4 linked regions of the Coturnix japonica genome follow. Each later gene encodes a partner of the first gene's protein in a complex. Links are inferred from orthologs where the notes say so. Each region holds a gene or a part of one and is shown on either strand. Other genes may lie near its edges. The genes, in order: TAB1, OGT, MAPK14 and XIAP.

Region 1 (4,342 bases):
TATCAGTGCAGACAGACTTAAATGGCTGCCCTTATTGAGAGAGATGTTTCAGGAGGTTCTAAGAGTGGCTTGTTCTGCTTGGCTTGTTTGAAATCACACCTACCATCAAGTGTCTCTTACCTTATCAAGAGGAAAACATGAGAAGGATCTTGAAGTACTATATTAGGGGTTATTGTGAAATGGCTATAGTCACAGAAGGTGAAGATGGGGAATATGAAAGAATATGGAATAAACATCACTATTTTCACACCCAGGGAAGAAGATCTGTTTATTAGTTTGATGTGTCTTCTATTTATCTCTGTGTGACCATTGCTTGGGTGTCTAGCATAGCACACGTTTTCAAAACATAATCAAGTACTGGGAAACAAGAGCCCTCAAGATACTGCTGACTGGGTTTCAGTAATAGATAGCTCAACACTGAGGAGGATATCATTGCAATTTCCTCCGTGACAAGATTCAAAATAATGTTTTTCAGCAGTGCTTCGATAGAGCTTCCTTCTCATCCCCTTTTAATGCACCTGTCGCCTGAGTACCCAGGTATCTAACGTGCCAACCCTTGTGTAGCCTGAGGACGATAAGCACAAGTACATGATGGTCAACTGGCAGCATCAAGTCCTCTGGACTGTCTTCCATCTTGGGTACACACTGTAGCTGCACCTAAGCATATACCTAAATGTACTGATATACCTACCCATCCCTTCTTTCTTTGGACAAAGACCCCTTCCTTCCTACAGTCCTATAGAGATGCCATGCCCCTAGAAAGTCAGATGTCTTGGCAACAGGACAAGTTAAAAACTGATGAGGCCAAATGTTGCCAGAACCAAGCCTAAAGCTCTGCCCAAAATCTATTCTGCAGTGACAGCTCTCTCTCTACTGTGAGGGTGTCTCTGAATGCCTACAACAGCACCGTGATGGGGGCTGCATTATGCTCCCTGCTCTCCACAGCATATTGTTCAATAATGTTTGTTCATCTTTTATCTGCTAGCCCAGCAGGGTGACCAGTGGAATGCTTCTTCCCTTTCTGCAGAGGAAACATATGAACAAACAGGAAGGCAGTAGCGCAGCTTGGCACTAGAAATACTGTGCATATAATCCCTGGCACTGGGACCAGGGAAGCACGAGAAACAGTAAGTACAAAGAGGCAGAGAGAGAGAGAGAAGGAAAATAAAACAGGATGGCAATGGTCAGTGACCATGAGCTGCAGCCAGACAAATTAGGAACAGGACAAACATGCAGACTCCAATCGTTAGTCTCAGAAGGACACACTTAACAATATACGAGCACAGCAATGACTTGTAACTCCTCCTCTCATAAGGAGAGTCGCTGCAGGCTGCCCAAGGAGGTGGTGCAGTCACTGTCCATGGAGGTGTTCCAGAGCCGCGTGGATGTGGCACTGAGGGACTAGGGCAGGGGACATGGTGGGGATGGGCCGGTGGCTGCACCAAGGGATCTCAGAGTGATCCTCGCCGCCTCCTCATTGGGCGGAGTGACGGAAGGGGGCGTTGGCTGCGAGCGCTGCTCTCTGCGTGTGGGAAAGAGGGCGGGGCTGTGAGTGGCGGCCTCTCTGCCCGGCAGATTTGTCTGCTCTGGAGGGAGAAGGGCGGGTAGGAGGGAGGAGGCCGCTGCTGCTGCTGCAAGATGGCGGCGCAGAGGAGGAGTCTGCTGCAGAGTGTGAGTGGAGCCGTTCCCCCCCCCTTCCCCCTCCCCCTCCTCGCTCGCGCACCCCCTTAGGTGTGTGTGAGGAGGGACCCGCGCCTCCTCCTCGCTCTCCTGCCCGGGCAAGGGGAGATGCCCGCCGTGAGGGGAGGTGGGTGTCCCCCGTTCCGTGCTGCAGCAGGGCCGGCCCGCAGCGCTGTGTGGGGCTTTGGGCCCTTGCCTGAGGGGTGAGGGTCAGCCGTAGTGGGTAGGCCCGTGTGGGCACAGGGACCCTCCGTCGGTGTTGGCCGCCCCGCGGACCCGTTTTCTTAGCGGGGACCCCAGGTGTGAGGGTCCCATCCACTAAACTCACTATTAGTGCTGTGTATCAAGCTTGGGTGCAAGTCTCAGTTCTGGTTTCTTGTTGGAAAGAGCTGGGCATGCAACCAGAGCTCAGCTTCAGAGGGAAAGCAAGGGGTAAGTGATGCAGCTCTGCTGCAGGGATCATGAAGTTCTCTGGGAGGTGCTCTGCCCTGTTAGTGAGAGGGTGGGAATTAACCTGTAGCTCATCCTGAAGCAGCATTCTCACATCAGCCTTTACATGACCTCTTTCTGTCTCCCAGGAACAGCAGCCCAGCTGGACAGATGACCTACCATCCTGCCATCTCTCTGGGGTGGGCTCGGCTCCAAACCGTTCTTACAGTGCAGATGGCAAAGGTACAGAGGGTCACCCCTTGGAAGATAACTGGTTGAAATTCAGGTAAGTTGATTGTGCCTGGGTCACAGACTCCTTTACCTGCTTCTGTCTGCAGGTGATATTTAGCCTTTCACTGAGGACTCAGAGCATACAGGATTCTGGGGAAACCTGTTATGTCTGTCCTTGTATCACAGGCATCTGTGACTTCTTTTGCCTTCTCTGATAGGAGTGAGAACAACTGCTACCTCTATGGTGTCTTCAATGGCTACGATGGCAACCGAGTCACCAACTTTGTGGGCCAGAGGCTGTCTGCAGAACTGCTGCTGGGCCAGCTGCATGCAGATCACAGTGATGCTGATGTTCGCCGAGTTCTGCTGCAGGTAAAGCACCTTTAACTGGGAACAGCTCCTACTTCTCACACTACCTACCTCCTCCTTTTGCCACCAGAGAGCAGCATCTGGTTCTGAGGGGGTTGAAACATCTGCCAGTGGTTGTGCTTGCACTCATCCTGAGCAGCTGCAGTGCTTTGTTTCACTCCCACCTCGCACCCGTCTGTTCCCCTGGCTGTCAATGTGCTGCTGACAGCTCTCCAGGAATCTGCAGCCAGCCTTCACTGGACATGTAGGAGCAAGTCAGCCTGAGAAGGAGATGACAGGGAGTGAAAGGGAGAAATTAAGGCGTGGGGGGATGCATGTGCAAGATCACTTTCTTGAGTAATGGATGAGTATTTTTACAATCAACATACAAAATCAGATAGGTCTCTGATGTTGCTGTGTTTGTAATTTGTGTGTTTTGTCTCCTGTTTTGAGCACTAGCAGATTGCTTTCACAAGCTGTTAACTAGCTGCACTAAAATAATTGCATTTCAGTATGATGCTGTGATCCTTCAATATCTCTATGAACTGTAATCAACTGCTCTTATGAACTAGTCTTAGGAGATGGGGGTGGGTAGCTTCAAAGTTCCCTAGGTACTGGATAAGAGCTCGCTTTCTCTTATGATCCTTTTTAGGCTTTTGATGTGGTAGAAAGAAGTTTCCTGGAGTCCATTGATGATGCTTTGGCAGAAAAGGCCAGCCTGCAGTCCCAGCTGCCAGAGGTAATGTAGCCTTAAGGACAGAAGTTGCTGGAGCTCCCACCTTCCAGACTACTGGATGGGATGCTGATCAGCATTGTCCAAAGGAGGCTGTAATTGAAATCTATGTTTCTGTAGCTTTCATCTGGGAGCTAGTGTGAAATGAATGAAGTGCCGTGGTCTGTTCTGCACTGGTGCTACTTAGACCTATGATTGTTTTATTTAGTAAAGAACTAAAGGTGCTGTGGGAAGGTCCTCAGCCCTGTACTTACAGCTCTTCCAGGACAAAGTCATATGATGTGGATGGTAGGCAAGGCCTCAGATTTGCATGACACATGGGCAGATATGAATTCTGGTCTTGAGGTGGATTAGAGTGTCATCTCCAGAATCTTATCAAACCCATGTGGTTTATTGGGATTGAACAAATAATTGTATGACTTGCACATCTTGGCCTCAAGGCAAGACTGTCAAGATGAGTCCTCTTTCTTTATGCAAGTGTTGACTGTAGCTGTGGTTTCATTGTTGTGGACTGAGTGTTTAAGCCTCCCCCATAATCTCGGATTCCAGGGTGTTCCTCATCACCAGCTGCCTCCTCAATACCAGAAGATCGTGGAGAGATTGAAAGTTGTAGAGCAGGAGATCTCTGGAGGAGCCATGGCCATCGTGGCTGTTGTTCTCAACAATAAGCTCTATATCGCCAATGTTGGTGAGTTTTTCTTTGCTAGTATCCTGGTTAAGGTGCTTGTGAGCATGGCTGAAGTTCTAGGAAGCAGAAGCAATTTGAATGCTGGGGAGGGTTTCTCTCGTCAAGGAGTGATTTCCTTGTTACTTTTGGGACTGATAGATCAGTCTTAAAGGTCATATCTCTGCAGATATTGGCGGATACAATGTTTATGACCAAAGAAAAGGGGAAAATGAGTTGAGAGGTAGTGGAGATTC
Region 2 (4,319 bases), on another chromosome or scaffold:
CAGACAAGTTAACAAAGACAATTGAATAGGAGTGTCTGCCTGTTTACTGTTTGATATACATTCATGCTTAAGCAAAGCAAACATACAGCCAACATACGTGGGCTTACAGAGCTACCTTACATGTAGCTTCTCCTTGTTTAACCACCTCCCCTGTCCCCACTGCAGGTTCTACTGAGAAAGACAACCCAGCTCAATCAGCAGGATTCAAGTCTCCTCCTCAAACCTGAGCTCTACGTGGATTGAGAAACCATCACAAATACTCTGTTAAGCCTCTTCAAACATTTGCATGCTTTTTTCTATGCAGTGTTTCACTTACAGTCTTTCAGAAACAGAATACAGCAGACAAGCATAGGTTTAAAGTTCTGTCTTGCTCTCCTCTGTTTCATTTTCCCCCATCTAAATTATTACTACAGCTTCAATCAGAAGCCTACAGAGTAAATCCCAGTTACAAGTCATTACTTCCTTCACCAGCACAGACATTTAAAGTCCCAGAGGCTTGACAGACACAAGGTCAGGGAGAGGCAGGCAGAAGCAGCAGTGACAACTCTTAATTAAGCAATGCCATCTCACTGTAAACAATCAAACTCAGAACTTAAAGTATTAAACGCACACTGCAGGTGGAATACATGAAAGCTCCTTGTTTGCATGTGCAAATAACTCAGGGGCATGCAAGCATACAATACGAAAACGGCATGAGAGTAACAGCACTATCTGATGCTTGCTGCAAAGCTAGCAACTCCCACTTGTATTCCTCTTACCCTAAAAGAACTCAAGAAACAAGAACATTATTTCTGGCCAGTCATTACTGCTAGAATCAAGTCAGCATCTGCATTCAGTTCTAAAGCCAATGTCAGATAAGCACTTCTATTAACTGTGCTCGATACTATGAGGAGCACAAACTCCAAAAGAAGCTTGAACGCAACATCTCCATCCTACCTGTCCAATCTGCGACACTGGAAGTGAATAGACGATAGCAATAAAAGCACACCAGTATTATCAGGCTCTTGTCTCCAAAGCTGCATGCAGTGTCTCTCTGCTGCTTCAAAGTCTCCTGCCTGATACTCACGATGAGCCAACTCCGCTAACCCTTGGAAGGAAAGCATACGTTTCGTTGGTTCTGGAGAATCACCAAAACATTCAAGGGGGGAAAACAAAAAGTTAGAGAATGGAAACCAAACCAAAGAAACCAAACAGAAACTAAACGAAAATAAAACACCAACCAAAACCAAACCAAACCAAAAAAGAAACGGCGTATAAAACTAAAGGATGAAAACGATTGGGATGACACAAAACAACGCAGCAGGTGGAGGTTTGTGCTCTCACATCTTCAGGCCCCAAGCTGCTGCTGTGGGATTTCACCAGTTAACAGTTTAGAAACAAAAACAGCCATTACGGTTACACAACTTCATGTATTTTTCAAGTTAACGGAATGCAGTTAAGATAATCCTACTGTAAAGCAGTTACTTGGGCTCATACAGGCAGCAGAGCCAGACAATGAATTTCCTTGCCCCCTCCCCCCCATCCCCAGACCGGGCATGTAACACTTCCTAGCTCTGAAAAGCACTAAAAACCTCACAGGGAAATGCAGGACCACAGACACAAACTTCAAAGGACTCGAACTAAAGGAAGTTCTGCTGTGCCAGTAGATCCGTATCTTGTGAAAGCCCTTAAAGAAAAAGGCGTAATGCGCAGCGTTCCTTTAAATCTCCACTCCGCCGGCGTTATCTGCCACGCATAACAATTCCTCCATTGGCAAAGCGGCTGAATGCTATCTGATGGAAGAGCAGCGAGCTCCCGGGGCTGGGCTGCAACGGGGGGGGAGACAAACTACTTCCATCAAACACCGGGCTCAAACAAAACAACCCATGTGAGCACCCAGTCGTTACCGGACTGTTCTGCATTAGAATAGAGAAAGAGCAGCCCTTCAGGCGGTGCCTTTACACCACTCGGACCTGCTGTTAAAAGCCCTGAGTACTGCAAGCACCTCTTATTTTCCCCTCCTAAGCTCAGGGCAGGGAAGGGCAACGCTCCCAGCGCTCTGCGTGCACTGGGCCCCATTCGTCCAGCACTTCCTATCTGGCCCTACGGAATTCCACATCTCTGCTGTAACGAATCACACAATGGTTTGGGTTGGAAGGAGCCTTTAAGATCACGTAGTCCCAACCCTTTGCTATAGCAGGGACACCCCCCCCCCCTCTAGCCCGGGTTGCTCACAGCCCCATCCACCCAACCCGGCCCTGAGTGCTGCATGGCAGAGGGCGTTCACATCCTTGTCGGGCAACATGAACCAGTGTCTCCCCATCCTCACGGTCCAGCATTCCTGCCAGTTATCTACCCCTGTTCTAACGGAGCTGCATAGCGCCGGGCCGCAGTGCAGGCCGTGGAGCAGCGCTGACTGGGGGCTGTTAGCGGTGACCTTGGTGCTCCCGCAGCGCAGCGGCCCGGCCCCCAGCACAGCGCCCGTTCCCGTACCCACATCCCCACACCGCTCCGCTCCGCGCCGCCCCTTCCCCCCCGGCCGCCCCCGTGGCAGCGCCGTTTATTTCGGGCCCGTTGTCCGCCCTGCCCCGCTGCGGCTGACGGACAAATACAGCGCCTCCAACACGCGGCCCGGCCCGGGCCCACGCGGCCGCTTCTGGAAAGTTCCGCCGGGAGCGGCACCCGCGGAGCGCACCGAGCCCGGCGGTACCTGTGCTGTCGGCCACGTTCCCCACGGAGGTCGCCATCGGGACAGGGGCCGGCGGGGCGCCGGGCTGAGGAGGCGGAGAACGACAGAGCTGCCCGCGCTGCCGGCACGCTGAGGCGGCGGCTCCCGAAATGGCGCTGGCGGAGGCGGCGTCGATCGAATGGCTGCGGCCGGACCTACATCCCCGCGACAAATAGTCCGGGCGGAGCCAGCCCGCGGGGCGCCGAGCGGCGGAGTGATACAGCGGAACTACAGCCGTCTCCTTCCGCCGAGCGCCCCCTCCATGTGTATCACACGGAGCCGCAGCGCAGCTCTGTCAGCTGAGAGATCGCTCCGCGCCGACACATTGCGACAAACGCCGCCGCACTGCGCATGCGCCGCTGGTCGCCTCCACCGGCACGTGCAGCCCGGCCGTGCTGGGTCGGGGGGATGAAGGGGGGACTGGAATTAATTAGTATTTAGCATTAACACACGGGGCGGCTGCTCGCTGCAGGGGGCTGGAAGGCTAAGCTCACCTCCCAGCCATAAAGAACCGCTCTCTGAGCTATCATACAAAGCGCACGGTGCTTTATTCCGAGCAGCCTTCCTCTTCCCCAGACGGATCCAACAGAAACGATTTGACATCTGTTAAAATGAAGAACTAACAGTCTTCAGTGGGATTCCAGAGACAATAAAGGCCACCCCCCCACTGCGCACCGTGCCCTCAGTCTCGTGTTTTACAGCTGATTCAAACAATATTCACATCATATGCAACGCTGTATGAGCAGGCTGCTCCTCGTTAGCACAGTGTTAACGCAGCACCAGCGCTGCTCCTCGGATCCATGTGGGCCATCAGAAAGCACAGAGCTGAGAGCAGCTCATGCAGCAGTCAGTGCAGGGACAAGGAGCGCTCAGGAGGTCATTCATCCGAGTCCAGGTCACTGTCCCCTGCAATGGAGTGGAAATCCTCGCTGTCCTCCTCGTCCTCAGACAGGTGCACCTGGCTCAACACGCTCGGTCCACAACGCTGCTCTTCTTCTTCTTCCTCCTCCTCGGAGATCTCATACCCCCCGATGCTGCTGAAGCTCGTATCCCTTGTGTTGGACTTCGGGTCTGGCTCTTCGTAGCTGCCGTAACTAGGAAAAACAAACAAGTATGCTCATATTCTGTCACAGTGAGCTCCTGTAAAAGGTCCTTGAGATCCTTGAGGAACAACTCGGAACCACTGTGCGCTTCCATGCTGTCAGCTGTGTAAAGCAAAAACCCAGCTCTCCTGAACCAACACACTGCCAGCACCTTTGCTCTGTCCTGGATGTACTCAGGGCAGGAAAAGCAACTGATTGCTTCTATCTGCCTCCTTCACTGCAGATAGAAAGGCAGACGGTGCAACAACCACCATCAGAGCACAGCCCATCCACACAGCCAGTTGCTGAGGCACTGGGCTGGGCAGACCATTCACCCCACCCAGCACAGCCCCTCTTACAGGGAGGTTTTCATCACCTCTGCTTGGGCAGAATTTGCCTGTACAACTTGTTTAGGCAGACAGTAGCAGTACTGAGTACCCACGTTTCAAGTTAATCAGCCAAATCATCTTTAACTTCAAAGTCAGCTTCATTTCTGAGATGATCTATTACAAGCTGTATTTGTATTGCCT
Region 3 (3,560 bases), on another chromosome or scaffold:
AGTGCGCTAATTCCCACAGCACTGGCCAATAAAACAAGCTGGAAGAGTCCATTAGCATGGGGCATCCCAGTAATTTGTGCTGAATTTCACAGCTGATTCAAAATAATGACAAATCAAGGCAGCAAAATTCCTACAATAGCCTGGGAAAGGAAGGGAGATGCAAAAGACTTTTCTTGCAATCTCCAGAGAAGTTACCTACACATCATTGAATTCTTCCAGAGACTTGGCAGGGGTGAACACATCCAGCAAGCCGATCACCTGGAAAAACAAAGTGAAAAAGTCACGAAAAACATTAATCATCTGAATGATACAGTCAGTAAGGTCCTTTGTGGAACAGAAACTACTCCTTCCAACAGATGTTTCATTTCCAACTATATGAATCATTTGGATGTAAGCAAATGAGTATTTGTACAAGGTCAGAAACAAGCATTCAAATACTAAGTAAAAAAAAAAAAAAAAAAAAGATAGTCAAAATATACAGCTGTCTTTTACACCAACCATCTACTTACAACATCAAGCAGGAGCCACAGCAAGCCAAGGCAATAAAAGGCAAGTGTCAGCACTGGTTAAAAATACCTTATTTAAAACCCAGCTGAAGTTTGGTGAGTAAATAAATGGATGAGCAAACACGAGGCAGAAATCAGTTTGCTTCCTGCTAGGTTCTTAGTTGTGCTGTTGACTATATACTAGATCAGCAGCAGGAGACTTTTTTTCACTCGCACTGAGTAATAGCTAGAGGAAGGAAACCACCAATAATCTCTGCTGAAAGCAACAAATAATGTCTACACTGGAAAATAAGAAGTGAAATGAGTCTCAAAAACAGCATGCTGCATCACAGAGCCAAATTTCACTAAGAGCTGAGAGCTTCACACTGCCATTTATATCTGCTGCCCTAAGAGTCTCCACTCTACCCCTCATTTTCACAGCTAAGCTGTTCCAGCAGTGGAGAGCAAAAGGGAACGTATGTGTTACCTCATGGAAATGCACAATTATACCTCATCACTCTGTAGGCAATAAGGAATAGGTCATGGACATTTCATTTGGAAAACAATCCATCTGGTCCATAAAATTGTTTGAATTTCCACTGAGATTTGCTTTTAAAAATTATCCTTCTCTTAACAGCACAGCATTACTTAGGATTATGAAATAAAGGTACAGACTCCTTCCTCCTATTTTAGGCTTGCATCTCACCTGCCTTGGATTCATTCGCATCACACACATTTCAGTAACTTCAGCAGTGGTTCAAACATACATATTAAACAAAGTGTTGGATGCCAACGTTCCCTTTCAGCACATATTAATACCATCAATTGCAATTGTTAAGGATGACAAAATCAACCTTTTACCATTAACATCCATGCTTCAAAATAACTCCTATGCTTTCTTTGCTCTGTGGACTTCTCCATGCCAACGTTTACAAAAATTATGCAACATTATCCTCCCAGTTTAGCAGTAAAAAAAAACCAAAAACTGACCTTGTTACCAAGATTTCCATTTCCTCCCTTACCATTTCCATCTTGCTACAGTGTAAAGCACACTACTGAACTATCCATATATTTCTCACTGACTAGTTTCACACACAAATGCAATTACTCTGTAGCACAACACTGACAGTTCTAACCATACTGGTCATCCCCAGACCAAGAATCAGCTCCTGAATTTCTGCACTCCCCTTCAATTTTAGGTTGTTAACTTCTTCATACAACACTAAAGTTGACTCTCACACCTGCTCAGTATTCTGCCTTATGTAAGCTAATGAGGCCTCCTGGAGCCTGAACATATAACAGAACCATGCTTGACTGCTCCACAGGCCGATTTATTTGTTCAAGATCAACACAATCAGTCTAGATATAGAACAGAAAACCATCCCTGCTCAAGATCCTTGAAACATTGTACCTACCACATTTGCTGAAGTGTTCTACGTCATGTAAAGCAGGGTATTTTACTTCCAAACTGAGATCTGAATAGACAGCTCGCTTGAACTAACCAGCCTACCTGAACTGGCTCTGAGCATCTTCACATCTGCAAGATTTTAAACCACACCCAGATAAAAATCCCACAGACAGCAGTATGATGAACTGACAGTAAACACTTCTATATACAAAAAAATTCTAACAATATAATCTTATCTCCTACTCTCAAAGCTACACATGCACTTCACGACACTATTCAAAAGTATTAATGAACACCAGACACAGAGCTGCTGTAGCACCAGGCTAATTCCCACTGTGGAACCATAGAATCATAGAAATCTAACCCAATTAGCTCAGACAGAATGGATCAATGTGCTGATGCAGAGATACATCTAAACACATTCTCCAAACAGTTCCAGAGCAAAGCTTTGAATATATTTCTGGTATGAGAAAAGGTAGAGAAAAAAAAAAACCTCAGGGGGATGGATATTAAGCAGGATCGATGGATGGCTGCCTCTGTTACTCAGATAACAGCATCACATAGAGGCACTGAGGAAGTACTGCTGAGTTCAGGCTGCGCGTGCACCAAAAGGTCCAATTACATCAGCCACACTGTCAACACAAACAAGATTCAAGCAATACCATCTGCTTGCTGTGGCAGAAAGAAGCCACGGCACAAAACCACCACTGCCACAAAAGAAGTTCTGATCCGACCATTCAGGGAGAAGCTCCCATCAAAATTGGGCTTGCTTGTTGCGTTAAAAACACTAGGCTTGCTCAGTCCACTTCTAAATCAGTATTTCCCTTCTGCTACATTGGAGTTCACTTGTACAAAAATTAAGAGCCTTCCTTTTCTCTTGATGTTGACAGCTCTAAAGAAGGCAAGATAATTTTTGCTCAATTGCAGGCAATATTTTCTCTGAACAGCATGCGATATAAATATACCAGTGTGTTAATGCCACAAACACAAAGAACTGCTCAAGTGGTTTCCACAGCAAATGGAAGTTAAACAGAAAAAAATGATTAGACAGCATATAGCATAGCTTAGTATAAGCATTCATGGTCTGTGTTGTTGAAATGGATGGCTTACAAGAACAGATGTCTGATATCTTCCCCTCCCCTTTTTTATTCCTGTTCATCTACAGGAATCTAGTGAACAACTGCTCCAACCCTTTCTGACATGATGACACAAAGCAAGAAAGAAAGCCTTCCATCACGATTCACTGTCTACTGCAAGCTATGTACTTACTATCTGAAAAACCTGTGCAATCAGCCTGGAATGCAATCACACCAGGTAGCCCAGCTTCTCATATAATCTCCTTCTACTTACATTTTCATGTTTCATGTGCTTCAGTAGCCGTAGCTCTCGGTAGGTCCTTTTGGCATGGATGATAGACTGAAATGGTCGGGACAGCTTCTTTACAGCCACTCGCAACCCAGTTTTTGTGTCAAAGGCAGAACTACAACAAAGAGTAATCAAATAGTCAAAATGAATCACTTATAAACACCCTCAAATCCATTTAGCAACTACAAATAGAGGCTGCGCAGGCACTGAGTCACACAGCCGATTCCATTTCTCCCTCTCCACCACCAATAACATCCAGGCTTCCTGGCCTGCAACCTGGCTGCAAATTCCCACACACAGAT
Region 4 (3,560 bases), on another chromosome or scaffold:
AAGCTGTCTAAGCAACGAACAGCATCCAAGGAATCCATCCATGGTAGAATATGAGAGGCGGATACAAACGTTTTTAACTTGGATATACCCTGTTAACAAGGAACATCTTGCTGAAGCAGGGTTCTATAGCACAGGTAAGATAGACCCCCAAATGGCGATTACATCTTACAAATAAATGTTGTGCAAATATGTTTTATAATGAAAAATATAAGCACTTTCCTATTCTAATGCAGAACGGTTTGCCAGACTTTTAGTAGAACTGGTATTCATTCTGCTTTCCTTTACAAACTACTTCTTGTGTTTCTCTTGCATGATTACAGCCACCCTATGAGAATGTTTCTTAGCACAATATCAAATTGTCAGGTTTGTTTGTTTGCTTTGTTAGCAGCAGAGCATCAAAATAAGTTTTCCTTACCTGCTAAAACCCTCCTAATGTATCTTTTACAATAGCAATAACTGAAGCAAATAGTTTTAAAAAATGAAGTGCTGTCCTCCAGATAAACACCTCAGGTCTAAAGAGCAACTGTGTAGCTCTGAAGCTTCTGAACCAAGACAGTGCAGGTTATATGCCATTTTAATTAGTTAATGTGTTTACATTATCATGGCATCCAGACAACCAAAAAAAGCAAGTGCCATTATTACCTAATGTAAAAGCTTTATGAAGACGAGGACTCTACTGGAAGAGATTTTACTATTAGGAATCCAGTGTATCATCTGGATAAGGCTCTAATATCGTTGTGCATTGCTTTTTCAATCTGGAGAAGGCAAATAATTCCTTATTGAATTGTGTGGTGCAGATAAAGCTCTTTGAAATTCTTTACTGAGAGATGCTGTGCAAAGTTGTGCTATTATTAGGTCACAAAGAAAAGGGGATTATCCAGGATAATTTCTTGCTCTCATCTTAATTGGCTTCTCCCTTAGTAGCTCCCAGAAGAGCTTTTTAATCTGATACCATTTGCTTTGCTTGTGGCCATAAATAAAACTCTTGATATATTCTTACATAAGTGGAACACAGGTAATATTTGTACTCAATAGAATTGTTTTATTAGTTCCATCTTGGACTCCTGACAGTAAGTAGCTTACCTTGGCCAAGAGAGATCTATACTGTGAAGGTGAACTGAACAGGCAGTTTAAGAGACCAAAAGGCTCTTTAAACGGCTTTGCATTTCTGGTAGGCTGAGACAGAGTTAGTTTTGGTGAAAAACAAACAAACAAAAGTACCCCCTCCCTCTTATTTCAGTCAGCACAGAGTCTGAGAGAGTTCTGGTGCAGTCTTTGATGGGGGTAGGCACAGTGCTAGTGCTGAAGGAATGCTATTTCTTCAGAAATTGCCATCAGTTATGCTGCTTCTATGTAGAACCCATTAATTTTAATGGTGAAATGAAGGAGCAAAGAACACTCTTTTGAATGAAATTCCTATTAGTAATTTCTATTCTTGCTTTACTGTTACTTGAATAGAAAACAGAACTGTGGTCATGAGGACAAACAGATAAAGTTGTGTCAGTTCCTTTCCAAATAAACTTTTTGTGGTAATGACTTAATGGCCTGTTTATCAGAGGGATGCACTATCTGATAATAGACTCTTTTTAGCATTTGCTTTTTAATTACTTGCTATATCAGAATTCTCAAATATTGTATGTGACTCTATTTTATGTGACTTTAAGGTCAACTTTTTTTTTTTTCCTGAACGTTTGTTTCAGATCATGTTTATTATACTCTTATACGGATTATTTTCCAATTACAATTTCCACTCAGTAATATAAATGTTTGTTGTTTGTAATAATGTAGTGCTTCAGCTAAGAACTCCTTGTCAGTGCATACTAAAAATATGTAACTTGGGTGTTTGCTAAGGTAATGGTGATCATGTTGTGTGCTTCCACTGCGGTGGAGGATTGCAAGAATGGAAGGAAAATGAAGACCCATGGGATCAACATGCCAAGTGGTTTCCTGGGTAAGGTATTTTTTTTACAGTTTTCTTTTGACACTTCATAGAACTGTAGAATCCCTGGAGTTGGAAGGGACCTTTAAGGGTCATCTAGTCCAGTGCCCCTGCAATAAACAGGGCTGTGCACATCTGAGTTGTCTTCATAGTATTTTGTTTTTATGACAGAGCCTACTAGTAAGGTCTTTAGAAATCTGACTGTGACTTTGATGCTGTTTCTATTTATGACAGTGGAGGGTTTCTTTTTGTTAGCACATCCACATTGGTGGCAGTGTTTCAGATTCTCACAATATGCTACATAGATGATTCCAAAATTAATGTCTCATTTATTTACAGGGAAACTACAACAGATGCAAAAAGCACAATTGCACTGTCTGATAGAGCAAATTCTCAGCTATAAAGCATTATTTTTCAGCATAGTCACCACAGCTAGGTATGTGTTTTCACCAGCAATGAACAAGAATCTATTTGCCATGCTCATATAAATAAATAAAATCTGCCCCAGCTACTGCCCAGTAGCTTGGACTGGTTGGAAAATAACAAAACACAAAGCATCTGCATTACCAGTTGCTGCTTTTCTGTGATTACAAACTACTTAAAGAACCAGTGTTTTGACATGATGTTAGTTATTCATTAATTCATTGGAGTTTTTTACTACTATAAACATGTAGCATGAGGTGACATGGCCAACAGTTCCTTAGCTTCCTGTTTCACCAAATCTGCAACACATAATTACTGCTGAAGCAATTAATAACTTTTTAGAAGCACTTAGGTGATATTACTGATGTTGATTGTTCATTTTGAAGTTTGGGAAGCAAGCATTCTATGTGAGGTAGGAATTGTATCAAACCTTTATGAAGTTACAATATCAACTTCTGTTTGCTGCTTATGTAGTTATATGATAACTAAATATTTTTGTTTATAGGTGCAAGTTCTTGAGAGAGGAAAAGGGAATAGAATTTATTAATAATGTTCACTTAAGAGATGGATGTAGGGATTCAACAGTAAGTGTCTTCTTATTGATTAAATATTTTACTGAAGTAGAAAACAATCATAACCTAATTTTCGTATGAAGTCAATCTTCTGATCATCTGCATAACTTTTTAGTCTTCCTGCTGCTTCTTTCCTTGGCAGAAAGTAAAAAAACATTGAAGTATGTTTTGATTCTGCTATTTGAGCTTCATAGATTGTACAGTTGTCCCTACTTAGATAATGAATGCCAGCTTGGGTGCCTTGTGGGTTGTTATATATTCCATACTGAAATGCTAATCCTTGTAGGCTGGGAACCAAGAGCCACGTACATATTATTGCACCAGAAAAGTGTTAAAATGAAAATGTAACAAAGTCTGAATGCCATAACAAAGTATGAATCCCTTTGCCAATGTTTAGAGCAGAGAAAATCTGCTCTAACTATAGTAGTTTTACTCAATAAAATAACTGAGGTCAAATAGCTATTTTGTGTCTTATAACTGTATAGGTCTCCTCGTACTCATTCCAGAATTGTAATTTTTTTCATCTTTCTATTTATTTTTTAGATAGAAGCTGCTGAAGTTTCAATACTTCCTGAAGGTATATAGTAAAAATAACAATAATAATAATAAAACCAAATTTCTAAGTT

The links.
Region 2: the proteins of TAB1 (region 1) and OGT are in contact, whole or in part, in a crystal structure (PDB 4AY6), measured with the Homo sapiens proteins. The link is inferred for Coturnix japonica from reciprocal best matches to the Homo sapiens genes TAB1 and OGT. Residues at the interface, in NP_006107.1 of Homo sapiens: Pro389, Val390, Val392, Pro393, Tyr394, Ser396, Ala397, Gln398, Ser399; in NP_858058.1 of Homo sapiens: Asp441, His506, His508, His509, Asn567, His568, Pro569, Gly641, Tyr642, Thr643, Lys644, Ala646, Gln849, Phe878, Pro904, Val905, Ala906, Pro907.
Region 3: the proteins of TAB1 (region 1) and MAPK14 are in contact, whole or in part, in a crystal structure (PDB 4LOP), measured with the Mus musculus proteins. The link is inferred for Coturnix japonica from reciprocal best matches to the Homo sapiens genes TAB1 and MAPK14. Residues at the interface, in NP_079885.2 of Mus musculus: Val385, Tyr386, Pro387, Val388, Ser389, Val390, Pro391, Tyr392, Leu405, Ser406, Leu407, Val408, Met409, Pro410; in NP_036081.1 of Mus musculus: Gly110, Ala111, Asn115, Ile116, Cys119, Gln120, Lys121, Leu122, Thr123, Asp124, Asp125, His126, Phe129, Val158, Asn159, Glu160, Asp161, Cys162, Leu217, Thr218, Gly219, Arg220, Thr221, Leu222, Asn272, Val273, Phe274, Ile275, Gly276, Ala277.
Region 4: the proteins of TAB1 (region 1) and XIAP are in contact, whole or in part, in a crystal structure (PDB 2POP), measured with the Homo sapiens proteins. The link is inferred for Coturnix japonica from reciprocal best matches to the Homo sapiens genes TAB1 and XIAP. Residues at the interface, in NP_006107.1 of Homo sapiens: Glu99, Ala100, Arg103, Thr201, Gln202, Leu203, Glu212, Asp213, Phe216, Arg217, Gln220, Arg241, Glu269, Glu271, Ile272, His273, Ala275, Gln276, Pro277; in NP_001158.2 of Homo sapiens: Phe33, Ala34, Ser38, Gly39, Pro41, Ser43, Ala44, Ser45, Thr46, Arg49, Tyr75, Ser78, Ala79, Val80, Gly81, Arg84, Phe92, Ile93, Gly95, Tyr97, Leu98.

Annotation. Positions count from the first base shown.
Region 1 is NC_029516.1:46,232,118-46,236,459, reverse strand, and holds the start of TAB1 (TGF-beta-activated kinase 1 and MAP3K7-binding protein 1), read left to right. Parts: upstream 1-1,539; 5' UTR 1,540-1,638; coding exon 1,639-1,671; intron 1,672-2,258; coding exon 2,259-2,395; intron 2,396-2,558; coding exon 2,559-2,712; intron 2,713-3,340; coding exon 3,341-3,427; intron 3,428-3,970; coding exon 3,971-4,109; intron 4,110-4,342. UniProt on the Homo sapiens protein: Key adapter protein that plays an essential role in JNK and NF-kappa-B activation and proinflammatory cytokines production in response to stimulation with TLRs and cytokines.
Region 2 is NC_029519.1:2,160,044-2,164,362, forward strand, and holds the start of OGT (UDP-N-acetylglucosamine--peptide N-acetylglucosaminyltransferase 110 kDa subunit), read right to left. Parts: upstream 2,860-4,319; 5' UTR 2,727-2,859; coding exon 2,690-2,726; intron 1,118-2,689; coding exon 937-1,117; intron 1-936. Other genes in the region: TAF1 (transcription initiation factor TFIID subunit 1), read right to left, coding at 3,585-3,801. UniProt on the Homo sapiens protein: Catalyzes the transfer of a single N-acetylglucosamine from UDP-GlcNAc to a serine or threonine residue in cytoplasmic and nuclear proteins resulting in their modification with a beta-linked N-acetylglucosamine (O-GlcNAc).
Region 3 is NC_029541.1:528,264-531,823, reverse strand, and holds part of MAPK14 (mitogen-activated protein kinase 14), read right to left. Parts: intron 3,374-3,560; coding exon 3,244-3,373; intron 259-3,243; coding exon 200-258; intron 1-199. UniProt on the Homo sapiens protein: Serine/threonine kinase which acts as an essential component of the MAP kinase signal transduction pathway.
Region 4 is NC_029519.1:14,631,794-14,635,353, reverse strand, and holds part of XIAP (E3 ubiquitin-protein ligase XIAP), read left to right. Parts: coding exon 1-134; intron 135-1,851; coding exon 1,852-1,951; intron 1,952-2,867; coding exon 2,868-2,946; intron 2,947-3,477; coding exon 3,478-3,511; intron 3,512-3,560.